2 linked regions of the Arabidopsis thaliana genome follow. The protein of the gene in region 1 interacts with the protein of each later gene in a pairwise test. Each region holds a gene or a part of one and is shown in the gene's direction. Other genes may lie near its edges.

Region 1 (8,349 bases):
TGTCACTGCTTCTCTATCGTCTTTACCGCCTAGGAAGATCATACAAATATTGTAAGATGATAAGTTTGGAACTGTGCCATTGATGGTTTTCCGTCCGGAACTGATGTTTTTCCGTCCGGAACTGCTTCGGTATACAAAGACTCCGACAGAACAAGGTGCCACGTCGAGAACGCTCTTGTTAAGGTTCCGGATCATGTTATTGTTAGAGATAAGAGCTGATCCGTCAGCAGACCAAGTCTGGTGAAAAGGAAGGAGTATGAGAGAAGTAGTGTTGTTGAGAGCAAGCATACATATATCTCCGTGCATCGTATCGGGCATAGATAAAGCCGTGTAGGTGCTTACGAAGACCGAACCATAGAAATCTTTACGAAACTTTTCAAAGGAGACAAGTACATTGTTTGAATAAGACGTCTCCTCTGTTCTGCGAGTTTGCAATTTATGTGAAATGAAGATCGGATTTGCTTGTCCTACAAGCTCCATCAAGTGGAGAACGTAGGTAGCTACAGGAGATTCCCGGGACGGACAAATAGCTTCAAGAAGATTAATCATTGGACTTATATCATCAGTTCTGTAAATGCAAGACAGAATCCTTAGCTCAGAGTTTGGTTTCAAATGCTGCATATTCCGCTTCTCGTACCCCGCGTACATCCTCGAAGGATCGTATAAGTACCGCAAGATCGGAGGAATGATTGCGGAGTTCAACGTTATGTAAAGACACGCCACAGTGAAGGTCTCGGGACGGACAGACTGCAATGTTCAAAGCATAAACATAAGATAAACTTTGTATTGAAATGATTAATTATGATTATGAACTTCATTATGTGTGTATACATAATTACATACCCCTCTTTGGTAGGCCAAGGCGTAGGCACCGAGCTCGAAGATGCCTTTAAACGACATGATAAGAGATAGAGCGAAGCAATCTTCCATCGGCATACCATAGAACAAAGCAGGAACAGTAGTAAAGATGAACTTGACGACAAAAGATGTTACCATGATGAGTATAATACCATTGAGACCTTCCCAACCAAATAAAGCCGAAATATCGATCTCCGTGGAAGATGAAGCAATGAAAAACGGAAGAAAAGTTCCGAATATAGCCGACTCATACTTCTGAATGATCGCAGAACCTAAAGGAGGACCATGAGGAACAGCAAGACCTAAGATGAAAGGTCCCATGAAAATAGATTGCTTGCACCAATTGGCAAGAATGGCTGAACCAGAAACCATAACAATTATTGTACTTAAGTAGATTGCCTTGACGGGACGACCGGAAGGTGTTTGTTTAATAATGTAGAACATTAACGGTCTGAAAACATAGATGGCAATACATACAAAGAGAACCACTATCCCTGCTCGCATCAAAGGACGATTCCCTGCAATAACATCACCTATAAACACACTCCCGAGCCGTGTTTGTTCGTCCTTGAGCTCCTTCATAAATATGAGAACGGAAGCGAGAATTGAGGTGCTGAAATCACTTATCACAGCAGAAGATATCGCTAGACGACCAAGCTCTGAGTTTTGTAGCCTGAGCTCAAAGAGAAGGTTTCCAACAACGGGGAAAGAAGAAAGACATTGGATTGAGTAAATCACAACATACTCTAATGAATTGAGAGTATGGTCTGAGTTTTTCGTTCCAACGTCCCTTAAGTTTCCGAAGAAGATAACGGAACAAACTAACGTCGAAAGTAAAACAGAGGAGAGCCCAATGGTGATAGCTTTTCTTCCTGTGGTTCGGATCAAACCCGTGTCCATTTTAACTCCCATCAAGAACCAGAACATCATGTAAGAACAAGCAGCAGTGAGACTAAACACAATCTCTTTGTAATCCTCTGTAGAAAAGAATCTTCTCGCTGCTGAATTCTCCTTTAGAAAAGACTTGCTTAAAAGAACACCAGTCTACAAACAAAGATCAACACAAACCTCAAATTTCAAATCCAGATAACAAGAAAACGAAATCGAGATTTTCGATTACTTACAAGCATATGAGAAGTGAAACGTATCATGCCAAGACGTCGAAGGAAGAAATGTAAGAATTGCCATAAGAAAGAGATGATGAGAAATATCATTTGCAAGTGTGGAAACGCGTAATTCCAGAAATGAACATTGATGTTAGGATCTGAGAATTTTTGTTGCGGCCAAACACCATTGGAGCTAGGGTTGATAGGTAAGACGTCACAAATCATGGTTCCTTCTCTCCATGTGTCTCTCATGTAAAACATCTTATTATCTCCAAACACCTCCATTGATGATGATGAACCCTCAAATGAAACAAATTAAAAAAAAAAAAAGATTCCAGGAGCAATGTGTTATCGGAGAAGGATTACAAGGATTTGGATCTTTTATATGAATTAATTCTTCTTTTACTGTTTAGGTAACAGAATCTAAAGAACAAGTGATCATCTGAGTTTTAAAACCCTAATAATAGTAAATAATGAATGGGCAAACGTTACCAACAAGAAACAGGTTTTGGCCGGCGACATAAATATATATATTTTAAAGGATTGTCTGATTACTGTTAGTTTTTACAGGTTACAACTTAATTCTGCTAATTTACGGGTAATTGAGCAAACTACAACAGACAAATTGCCAAAGGTCATGAAGAAAGAAATTACAATCCAACTTCTGGCGATACCACGTGCCGCCTCTATTTCTCCGGTGATTCCGATGGATCATCAGATTATGATGACGAGTAATCATCTCCGATCCCGTGTTCTTGCTCACGTCCCGGTGATCAGATTGGAGGAATTTGAAATTGCAATTTAAAACTCATTCAAAAATAGTTAGCTTGGGTAGCAAGCATAATTTTTCCAAAAGAAATTTGTGTATTTTTTTTCTTTATATTTTCTTTTTTTATTTGACAAAGTACGTAATAATAGGGAAAGTGGAGTTCGAACTCCCAGCTACGCAAAGGTCTTGTTTTTGTTAGCTTTCACTTTTTGGTCACATATTGGAAACTTGAAAACTAAATTAAAGTAGTTGAGTTGAATTTGTTTGGTGTAGCATTTTAAAACTGAGGGTAATTATATACATGACATTTGTAATTCAGAGATTCATGTCATCCTACATTCCCATGTTGTGGTGAGCCAGTTCGACTGGCCTATATTAGTGAAGTCTGGTTTAATAACGTCTTATTTACAAATGTGGTTTGCAGGTTGGTTCCCAGCAAAAAGAACTAAAAAACTCTACTAGAATCGCATGTGGAATACACTGTCACTGTAATGGTAGCAGCAACTTCTTTTTTTTAAAAAGCGTTAACTAACGTGGCATTTTTTTCTTCTAAAGGACAAAAAGTAACGTAACTCACCAAAGCTAACCCCAAGAAACAGCATTGATCACCCATATCATCATCACTGCATAGAAATTTTGATTAGTCACCAACAAAACTACTTCTTCCGAAATTAAAAAATGAGCACGCATAAGCAATATTTATTTAATATAATTGCAACTCATGCCGATGGCCACATTATAAACATTTCATGTAAGATCCAATCATATAATCGTATATGCACGCGTGTACAAATATGTGTGCATGAAAAGAAAAAAAAATATGTGTGCATGTAAGCAGATAAGAGAACTGAATGTAGTCGCAACTTTTTTTTTAAAGGATTGGATTTGACATAAGATATTATATAGATGTGAGCTTGACAGTTACAGAACGTATTGTATATAGAACAATACAAGAAAAGGCCATGAAAGAACACTAACACTTGACTTAGGTTAATCATTCTTTAATTACATCGGGATTGACCTTCTTCGTTTATTTAACTCATAAGATGTAGCTGACAAAGTCTAGTTAAGGTTTCATCCGGGGGAGGATTTATGTGGGGATGGTCGCTTTTGCTATCTCGAGTTGACTTCCAAGTTAATCCTAACCACATCACATACTTCTATTATTCCATTTTCAACCTAATGTAAATAATTCATATACATGACAAATGCATTTAGAGAGAAGAAAAAACATCATTCATGACGACAAAAACTTAGTCTATTGAACTTTTCTAGCGTTTTCTCTTGCCAGCATCCGGGTTCATCAAAATCTGTATATTGCATATTATTGTCATTATTGACAAAAAGACATTATTTACAACTTCTATGTATCGTATATTTATAAACGTCTAGATGTCTTTTTAATTTAAAACATCTTTGTAAATCTTTAATTAAATATCTGATTTTAAATAAAATCAAACATAAACATAAACAAATATAGTTGTGGAAGTCCTTTGGCCCAATGGTTGATTAAGGGTTCATCAACCCCCGCTAATTTTTTTTTTCTTTCTAAAACAGATGAATGTAACCTAACGTGTGTCCCGTCTCTAGAAAACATAAAATTCTTAAATTCTAACTTCTAAATTAAGAAAAAAAAACATTACTTGACATAATATATCAATTAGAATGTTTTTTTTTTTAATTACAATATTTTGTTTGGATCAAAATATCTTTTGGATTTTAAATCACTAATAAACTGCAAGGTTCAAAATATAGTTAGGTTCAATAGCTTAGTTTTCAAATTTTACTCAATTTAGTATAATCTTTCCGATTTTAAGATGTTTGATAAAGTGAAACGAAAAAATAAATTACTATATGTGTGACATGTATTTGTTTGTGTGTGTTATTTTGTGTGAATGTATGTCACAACTCGCGAGTATTTTATACGGTAGAGGGTAGGGTGTCTTCTTCATTGCATCTCTCTAGAGTCTGGACCGTCTGGCATATATATGAAACAAATATACCACAAAGAATTTAAAGATTCAACAAAATCCAAAGAAAATATAAGAACAAAACTCAAGCTAGATTCTTCATATACATGCATATACATATGATGAATCGAGATGAGCATATTGCAAAGAAAGTTGAAGGATCAATCTCTAGCTTCTCCGGGGAGACCAGTACTTCCTCAAAACAAATCTATGTTAATCCCGTGACCACGACCGGGACGAAATCAATGGAAGACGACGACGTTTCACTCTCTCTTCTATACAATCTATCTACCTTACATGAAAAAGTCCATCAGATCCAATCTCTGGTCAGCTTCTACATGGTATCTACTAATAACATTAACCAATCCTCGGGGTCAACGTCTTTGGCCGTGGCTAACATCGGAAGTTTGGTTCAAGAGATCATCACGGCTGCTTCATCCATGTTATATACTTGCCAACAACTCCAAATCGGATCTAACAACAACAACAACGATATCGATAATGATCAAACCGTAGATGCAATGGTTTTGGAGTTTTCCCGACAAGAAACCGACCCGGGTCATGATTTTGTGCAAGAGTCGACCAACCTTTTTGGTGTCCAAGAAAGAGGGCAGATCTCGTTTCCCGACCAGAATCTTGATTGGTACAACACCGAAACCATAAACCCTAAAAAAGATAAACATCGTTCTAAACCAAGTTCCGGGAGCTACGATATACTGGAGCTAGACGTAGCGGACCTACTAGCGAAATACACGCATTACTGCCAGATTTGTGGGAAAGGGTTTAAGAGAGACGCTAATCTAAGGATGCACATGAGAGCGCACGGGGATGAGTACAAGACACGTGAGGCCTTGATCAGCCCAACGAGCCAAGACAAGAAAGGAGGATACTCGTTAAAGAAACATTACTACTCCTGTCCTCAACACGGGTGTAGATGGAACCAGAGGCACGAGAAGTTTCAACCGTTGAAATCTGTGATTTGCGCCAAGAATCATTACAAGAGGAGTCATTGTCCCAAAATGTATATGTGCAGGAGATGTAGTGTGAAGCATTTCTCGGTTCTGTCTGATCTTAGGACACACGAGAAGCATTGTGGGGATATAAAGTGGGTTTGCTCTTGTGGGACTAAATTTTCTAGGAAAGACAAGCTGATGAGCCACGTTTCTTTGTTTTTGGGCCACGTACCGGCACATGGGTCGTCCAAGCCGCCGACAATCACCCTAAAGTAAGAACATAGGAAGTTTGAGGTCTATAGAGATTTCATAGACGATATCTCAAGAAATGACACGTGCATTCACTCCCTCTCTTTTTTTTGTTCTTTTTCTTTTCACGAGTTTCTATATTCTCTAAATTAATGTCACAAAGATAAGATAATATACAGATTTGTATCATAGTGACTTGTGCATTAACGTTAATGTTACAAATGATTTTGGTTCTGATGGGTATCATGCATAGATTTTCACTAATCTCAGAAATATGTGGAATCAGTGAGAATCAAAATTTATGTTTAATACGTCTCTCACTTCTCAGATTAATCAACAACTATCTATTGATATATCATGCAGAATTTTAAGAAAATATAAGAAACATCGTTAACTCTGTTAAAATACAACTACATATTAACTTATTAAGATGAGTCCAACTTATTAAGCTGAACTAAATGTTTGTATTTTAGAGAAATTCAAAATTTGTATCTATAAAAAGTTGGTTATTTTTGAAGAATTTTGAAAGAGTTGAAAACTTATAATTATGCATTAGTTCTTCATTTCCATAAAAATGTTAGATAGGAAAAAGTTGTTACCAACTTTGTAGATACGGTAAAATCATAGCCGTTCATTGGTAGACGGATCAAAAGTAACCACGTCAGCTATCCACGCCAAAAACTTTTTCTCTCTTTGCCGCTTCATGAACTTATGGCGGATAACAAAAAGCGCAACAGAAAATTCGAATTTTTCAATATTTCGAAAAAGAAATTTAAAATCACTCGCGCATTAAAGTAAAATAGATCTGAACCATCCATTCACCAAAACCCTTCATCGAACAGCACTCATATCTCCACGTCACGCATCCGCGTTTCAGTATCTTAACTAATCAGATCTCTTCCTATTCTCTTATATAAACAAACACACAATTCTCGAAGATAACAGTATCAAATCAAAACCATCACAGCAAAAAAAACTCACTCCCTAGAAAAGTTTGAAAATGGCGAAGGCAGATAAGAAACCAGCGGAGAAGAAACCGGCAGAGAAAACTCCGGCAGCCGAACCAGCAGCAGCGGCAGAGAAGAAACCAAAAGCCGGAAAGAAACTCCCGAAGGAACCAGCCGGCGCCGGAGACAAGAAGAAGAAGAGATCAAAGAAGAACGTTGAGACATACAAGATCTACATCTTCAAGGTGTTGAAGCAAGTTCATCCAGATATCGGAATCTCCAGCAAAGCCATGGGAATCATGAACAGTTTCATCAATGATATCTTTGAGAAACTTGCTGGTGAGTCTTCGAAGCTTGCGAGGTACAACAAGAAGCCGACGATTACTTCTAGGGAGATTCAGACTGCGGTGAGACTTGTGTTGCCTGGAGAGTTGGCGAAACATGCTGTTTCTGAAGGGACTAAGGCGGTTACGAAGTTTACGAGTTCTTAGATTTGGAATGTGGTTTTGTAATGGAGGAGAAGTAGTAGTAGTAGTTGGAATGTGAAATAGGGTTTATGCTTTTGGGTATCTTTGAGGGTTATGTAATATGGGAATTAGGGTTTTAATTTATGGCACGGCTATGAAATCTACTTAATTTTCCAATGTTCGATTGCAATTTCATTGCTCAATTTCTCAAATCTGTTAATTTTGATTAGAATCTAAAGAGCTCCACTTTAACTGAGATAAAAAAAATTGAAACAGTGATTCTCATTGCGTATATATCTAAGCTTTGATTTGAGAAGTATTGTCCAAGTTATGTGATTTTGAGTCTCAAAACTTTTTAGACAATCAAAAATCAAGTTCTTATGCAGGAATAAATCTGTTTCTTCAGTTACATTCAATGGTTAAGTTGGACTGGTGTTACATGAAGGACAACGACTTAAATGGATTGGAGAACAAACTACAAAACGATATTATCTTATGAATACAAAGCTCACAATGAAAACACCTGCGTAATTGTTTTGACTTGATTGGATCATTTCTTTGGGTAAGTTCGATGATCAGGTCCAACATCGCGTGAGCCTGTGTTTATGTAAGGTCCTCTAAAAGTTGCTTGAGGAGGTAATGGTTTTGTTGGATCGATAACTGGTTGTTTCGAAGATCTGCAACCCAAATGAGACAGAGTAAACAACAAATGTCATACCACAAGATGAGAAAATAACATTTGAGAGATAGAATAGGGTGCTTACGCCATGTAAAAGGGGAAAGCTAAGCCTGCAGATGCGAAAAGAACCAAACCGGTGGCTACAACGATGTTACGTGATGGTGCCATTGTAATCTCTCGTTTTGGCTTTGTAACCCAAACAAAAAAATCTAGAGAGAAACCAAAATCAAAATTGGAATCAGTGTCACATCATAAGGGTTATAAAATGATCATTTGAACTCAGACGCTAACACCTAATAGCATATAGGTAACAAAACAAGAATTATGACATTGTGAAACACTGAAATTCAT
Region 2 (6,584 bases), on another chromosome or scaffold:
TACCGTACGACGTTGTTTTCAACTGTTTGTCTCGTGTCTCGAGAACCCACGATCCAATTCTCTCTCTCGTATCCAAGAGTTTCAGATCACTCCTCGCTTTGCCTGATCTCGAAGCCGAACGATTCCGCATCCTAAAAAACGAGACCTGCCTCTATGTCTGCTTAAACCTGAATAACAACAACAACCCTAACCCTAGCTGGTTCATACTCTCTCAAACTCCTAAACATAAACTGATACCACTCCCTTCTCTTCCTTACCCAGATCCACATCCCAATTGCTCAACTGTTGTCTCAACTGGTTCAGAGATCTACTTGCTGGGCGGATTCGTCGCAAAGGAAAAGAGAAGCAGGAGAGCTTATGTTCTCGATTGTAAATCTCATCAATGGCGTCGACTCCCTAAAATGCGTATAGCTCGAAAAGAAGCAGCCGCTAATGTGATTGACGGTAAGATCAATGTGTACGGAGGATGCAGCAGCGAGTACCATAACAGCGTAAACTGGGGAGAGATTTACGACCCAATGACTCAAACTTGGGAGCCATTTCCGGAAGGTGCCTTGAACAAAGAGGGTGTGATTCCATGTGCTCTAATAAAGGATGGCATAGCTTTTCCTGATTGTGGCCTCCTAATTAGTGGAAAAGTTTATGACACTACAACGATGGACACGCTTGATTACAATACACCCATGGACAAGCTTGACTTGTGTCCAAATGTTTGCATGCTAAAGATCGATAACCAAGACTTCCAAGCATCGGTTTCCGATGGGAAACTCAAACTAGTTCGCTGTCGTGGCGCTATGGCGTGGCATTGGACGGTTGGGGGACTTGAAGAATTGTCTTGTAATTATCTTCTTTCGGTGGCAAGCCCTGGCGGAGGAAGGAGAGTGACAGTTTGGTGGAAGACGTATACTAAGGAATGTAAAACGGAGATTTGGTGTGCACTAATTTTGCTTGAGCGCGAGTTGGTTTGGGGAGTCATTGAATGGTCTGAGAATGTGTTTACCTTGCCTGGATCTGAATCCGATTCAGATTCCAATTCCTTCCTTTTGCATTATGAATTAGTGACACTTGCTCGACACTGAATATATACTTTCACAAGTCTTGCTAATTATATGGATATATACTACCAACAAGACCAGCAGCTTCTTTCCTTAATGCTTATTGCAGACATTGATGGAGCTTACTTTCCCTCATTTGTTTCTCATGGCCTATGGAACATAAAACCGTTCTTTGGTGTCTCATGAGAAGCCCATTTAAAGCCCAAATAAGCTGTCACTGTTACACATTTAAAAGACTCCCCGGAGTTCTTCTTAGTTGCCTGCCCTAAAATGCATACCGCCAAGAACAGTCGAAGTGACTCATTTGTTCAATGAGAATAACAATAAAAGCCAAAAATCTTAACAACACCAGATTGAATAAACTTTGTCGATTAAGATTATATACAAGATGATTTCAATCTCTGCGGATTGAGTGGTCAAGTTCCTTACTATGATTATGCACTTGATCTCATTTTAGATGTTGAATCATCAAATGGTAAGTGAAGGGTCCATTTGATGAATTTAGGTTTTACTTTGTCTGAGAATTGTTGTGGAGAAGTTTGATCAATAAGACTTCACTTCAATGATCCAGAAAGGAGAATAACATTGAGGTAAAGAGGTCAAAACATGAACAATACAATGGCAAGTTCTTGTATATACCAAGGAATTTCAAAAGCCTGTGCTCAAGGCAGAAGAAGTGGGAAACCAAACATCTAATTTTCACAGCTGATGATTTGGTAAATCTAATCTCAGCTCTTCTACAACCACCATTTGGTCAATGCACTGGCAAAACTCGAAAGCTCAACGCATATTTCCCTCTCTCAAGACATCGATCATGTTGTAGATTCGCTGATCTGCTTTCAATCGAATCTGCATTTCACAAAAGTGTTGAATCAACAATTAGCATTATAGAGAAGAGCGGTGAGACTCAGAGAAAGCTGAGATTCAATTTCGCAGAATCATGATGAGCAATAAGAGCAAGCTTTAGAACCTTTTTGGCGAGGAAGAGCACGGCATCAACAGTACCCTCAGCATAAATTGATCGGCCGCAGACATTGTGCTGGAACTCGAAGGAGACACTGCAAAGAAAGACAAAGAAAAGGGAGCTAGTTATGGAACAGAGACACTTTTACAATGGAAACAAAGAAAAGTATAAACAATATCTTAGATATTGCATTACGTTTCATCGGGTGATGTCAAGTGATAAAGATGGAAAGCGTGACCAGAGATATGCTCCTCAGGTACACCCACCATCTCCACTTGCTGTTTTGGATCCCGAATCAATTGTATCTGCCACAAAAGTTGTATACACAGAAAATTCACATTCCGAGGATAAATTAAGTGATTGCCAAGATGTAAACAATAAAGGATGACCAATGCACCTGATCCATGTCGTAAGACACACCCAATTCCTGGAAGCAAGAAATAACAGCTTTTGCTGTTCCGGATGCATCCAATTTGCTAGCTTGATGAGACTCCATCACCTACATATAGATTGGCAGTTGATTAGATGTAGCAAGAAGTAATATAAAACTAACAGAGAAAGAAAAAAGAATTTGAATGTATAAAAGAAGTAAGAAAAGTACATCCAAGGAATAACCAGAAAAGGCTCCCGGAAACTGCTCAGCCATGATCTCCATGGCCGCAAGAAATGCTACAACCTATAGACCAACAAAGCACACAAATATGAGCAAAAATGATCTTAACTTACATGCATAAGTAATCATTTCTTCCAGAAACATTCAAGTACACATACCTGTTTACCCATCTGTGGAGAAATCACAGCATAAATCTTTGCTTCCTCAACAGTTTCATACAATTTGTTCCTATCTCCACCAGTTGTTCCCATGACGAAAGGAACACCTACTTTGCTATACAGCTCCGCATTATCTACATTTTGCGAGAATACCAAACTTGAAATCAACAAACAATAGACAAAAAAAACACTTCTAGCAGATGATTTTCACTTGCACAAATTCTAAACTAACTCAATCAAGGATCGTTCCGCCAACCAGAATTCAACCATAACTTCAACAAATCTAGAATACAATTGTCTTTTGATGGTAGAAATGAGAGATTCTGAAGTTTACCATTTACTGCAGAGGGAATTGTGTAGTCGACAACAATTAGCTCCGGGTGCTTCTCAAACACCGAAGAAAGAACCTTTTCTCTTTCAGTTGGACCGTGCACAGTAATCTCCTTTCCACAGACCTCAACTCTCTGACCATCCTCACCAGCAGATCCAAACGATATGGGAACAATATTTACTCCTGCAGAGTCTGCTGCTTTAATTACAGCTTTCCCCATTTTGCCACTACATCCATTCACCTGTAGAATAAGAGATAATGAATATAGCTAAATCCAACATAAAAATCCCCATTTCAAAAGGAACAAGCTTTGACATTTCTACATTTCAAACTTAAATGGTAATGCAAAGTCAAATCTCACAACTTTGAGTCTAAGAGAAATCATCAGATGATCAGGTTTACCATGATGGATATGCCATTTCCAGGCAAAACAGATTTCACGGCCTCCTCACCGGAATCCGCCATCGCCGTCATGGATAAAACCACCGGAAGACGACGTGTCCCAATGCCCATGAAACTAACACGGCCTTTACCGTATTTTCCTACAGTCTGATTCGTTCTAGAAGCAAATGCGATACGCGGGCGATGAAGAAACACACTGGACGACGCCATTAACCTGTGATCAAATCGTTTAAATTCAATAGAATCCTCTTAAAGAGTTTAAAGCTCATCTCCGTCAATCAAAACGTGAAATTCGTAGGTTTCGAAACGTACCCATTCGTAGCCATAAAGGAATTTACTCTCCAGGATACGGAAGTTTTGTTCTTTGTTACGACGGAGTCAAAAGTTTAAATCTTTCACTTTTGTCTGAAAATTTCCGGCCGGTGAGAGTGATTGGGGATGTAGGGTTTAGCTTATCCCTTTTCATCAAACCGGAAATCTCTAACCAAACTAATAGATTCAATGAAACCGTAATTTTAATGAAAATAATAAACCGGAAGCCTTGAACCGATTTGATAAGCTAATGGACCTCACAGTCTCACTCTTAACCTGAAGAACGAAGAACCGTCTCTAAAACTCCGACGAACGAAAAATGAAGTCATTAGCTTCGCCGCCGTGTCTCCGCCTGATACCGACGGCACACCGTCAGCTCAATTCGCGTCAATCTTCCTCCGCCTGTTATATACACGGTGGCTCTTCTGTGAACAAATCCAATAATCTCTCATTCTCCTCATCCACATCCGGTAAGCTTGCTTTCTCTCACTTCTCTTATAATAACTCAAATCGTTTTTTCGCAATTTCGTGATTGAGATGTTAACATTTGGTGTTAGGATTTGCGTCACCACTAGCTGTAGAGAAGGAATTACGCTCTTCATTCGTACAGACGGCTGCTGTTCGCCATGTTACGGGGTCTCTTATCAGAGGCGAAGGTCTTAGATTCGCCATCGTGAGTTCTCAGAATCGCTTTCTTACTTTGTGCGCTGCTTAGATTTAGTGACTTGGTTCTGATTTACAGTGAAATTTGAAAACTTTGAGCTCAATTGCAGTGTTGACTTGGTTCTGATTCATTTTTCTTTCTCAAGGTGGTAGCTCGTTTCAATGAGGTTGTGACTAAGTTGCTTTTGGAAGGAGCGATTGAGACTTTCAAGAAGTATTCAGTCAGAGAAGAAGACATTGAAGTAAAAGTCTTTTGCTTGTAGAACAGAATAAAAAGTTATGAGCTTTCACAAAGCTAATGACACTGTTTTTATTCAGGTTATTTGGGTTCCTGGCAGCTTTGAAATTGGTGTTGTTGCACAAAATCTTGGGAAATCGGGAAAATTTCATGCTGTTTTATGTATCGGCGCTGTGGTATGATTCTTGTTTTGAAAGAATCTCAGGCTATTCCATTTGTTTTTCTCCTCATATGGCTTCAGAAAGTAGTTGCTTTATGTTGATAACATATACTTAAAGAGTTGGATTTTGATATTACTGTTGTCCTTGTTGTGGTTTAGATAAGAGGAGATACCACACATTATGATGCTGTTGCCAACTCTGCTGCGTCTGGAGTACTTTCTGCTAGCATAAATTCAGGTTTACCTCGATACTTATTTGCTGGATATACATCTTTAGACATTTTTATTTGACATTGTTTTGGAAACACTGAAAGATTGATTTTGTATACTTCCGAACCTAAAAGAGCGGGTAGTTCATTTTTGCTTTTCTTTGGATTTTGGATGTTTAAATTCCCTCATCATGAATTACTTCTTCAAATTTTGTGTTTACGCACTATTGACTCTAGTAATTAAAGCTTATAAAAAATCCAATTTGCAGGCGTTCCATGCATATTTGGTGTACTGACTTGCGAGGACATGGATCAGGTTTAAGTTGTGTTATGCAAGAGTTGATGATATATAGCTTATTCATCATAATGGATGAACACTGAATTTGTTAATATTGTGGTTAACTGAAACTCTAGGCTCTGAATCGATCTGGTGGCAAAGCCGGCAATAAGGGAGCTGAAACTGCTTTGACGGCGGTAAGTATCATTATGATTCAATCCTTTATTGTTAGAATAAGATGTAGAAATTCCTGATCATTCCATTGAGCAACTGGTCATGTTATAACCATTCGGGTTCTTATGTCTTTTTGGTAAAGTCTTTGAATATTTCTTCCTCTTGTTTTTCAGCTCGAAATGGCGTCGTTGTTTGAGCACCACCTGAAATAGCTCGGCTCGTTCGATGGATGAACATGATCACGTATGAGAACCTCTTGATGTTGTCCCATTTGGTTACAATCCAGTCTCTGAAATTGTTTGTACCTCAAAGATTGTCAAAATGTTTTACCCTTGGTTACAAAATCATTTAAACGCTTTTGTAAGCTTCTGGCCTTGTTTTTTTTTTTTGAATCGTATGATAATAATAATTCCTCCGAATTTTGGGGGTCTTTCTGTACTAATCAAAAATGTGATCTTCTTTGTTGTAATATCTTGAAATTGAGGTGTCGAAATGGATGTCAATTTTAAAAGCCAATAAGGATCTTACACGACGAAAATTTTGTCGGCGAGCGAAGATTACGCGTCACATTGATAATAGTTAATATAAAGTTCAACGGATCAACCAATTCCACAATCTATAATCATTTTGTGACTCTTGGAGCACTCTCTTCTCTTTGTCTCTGTGACTCACATTCATCCAATCCAGGTAAAAATCAAATCCACTAAGTTTTATTTCTCTTCATTGTTGTTCTTGCGTTGATCCTTCATGATTTGATCGGAATACATGGAAAAAGGTGGTGTAATTAGATCGAGCTTTTTGTTTCTCCGATCTGTTTGACATTTAGGTTGATCTAGTGCTATCATGTGTAGATCGAACATTCGGATCTGTATTTCCCACGAATCCTCTTGATTCACGTGATATGATCATTGTCTCTTAGTACAGAGATGCATTGTATGTTCTTTGGTTTGGGATATTCCACTAGGATCCTAGTTGATGATATCTAATGTGATGCGAGTTCTCTATGGTCTTTGGTGAGAAACTTTGTT

Evidence for each region. Proteins that work in one complex are often made in the same cells at the same time.
Region 2: the proteins of AT5G22890 (region 1) and COS1 interact in binary tests that used the Arabidopsis thaliana proteins (3 or more experiments, as listed by UniProt).

What each region holds. Positions count from the first base shown.
Region 1 is NC_003076.8:7,651,124-7,659,472, reverse strand, and holds AT5G22890 (C2H2 and C2HC zinc fingers superfamily protein), read left to right. Parts: upstream 1-4,637; 5' UTR 4,638-4,810; coding exon 4,811-5,932; 3' UTR 5,933-6,216; downstream 6,217-8,349. Other genes in the region: CHX3 (cation/H+ exchanger 3), read right to left, coding at 1-747, 844-1,902, 1,983-2,249; HTB2 (histone B2), read left to right, coding at 6,906-7,343; AT5G22875 (uncharacterized protein), read right to left, coding at 7,870-7,996, 8,084-8,166. UniProt on the Arabidopsis thaliana protein: Probable transcription factor. Together with STOP1, plays a critical role in tolerance to major stress factors in acid soils such as proton H(+) and aluminum ion Al(3+). Required for the expression of genes in response to acidic stress (e.g.
Region 2 is NC_003071.7:18,220,150-18,226,733, forward strand, and holds COS1 (6,7-dimethyl-8-ribityllumazine synthase / DMRL synthase / lumazine synthase / riboflavin synthase), read left to right. Parts: upstream 1-4,063; 5' UTR 4,064-4,154; coding exon 4,155-4,305; intron 4,306-4,392; coding exon 4,393-4,508; intron 4,509-4,644; coding exon 4,645-4,740; intron 4,741-4,816; coding exon 4,817-4,912; intron 4,913-5,055; coding exon 5,056-5,134; intron 5,135-5,374; coding exon 5,375-5,421; intron 5,422-5,519; coding exon 5,520-5,579; intron 5,580-5,729; coding exon 5,730-5,768; 3' UTR 5,769-6,084; downstream 6,085-6,584. Other genes in the region: AT2G44030 (Galactose oxidase/kelch repeat superfamily protein), read left to right, coding at 1-1,079; AT2G44040 (Dihydrodipicolinate reductase, bacterial/plant), read right to left, coding at 1,836-1,904, 2,026-2,113, 2,215-2,324, 2,417-2,518, 2,621-2,695, 2,791-2,924, 3,125-3,362, 3,524-3,737 and 1 more. UniProt on the Arabidopsis thaliana protein: Catalyzes the formation of 6,7-dimethyl-8-ribityllumazine by condensation of 5-amino-6-(D-ribitylamino)uracil with 3,4-dihydroxy-2-butanone 4-phosphate. This is the penultimate step in the biosynthesis of riboflavin.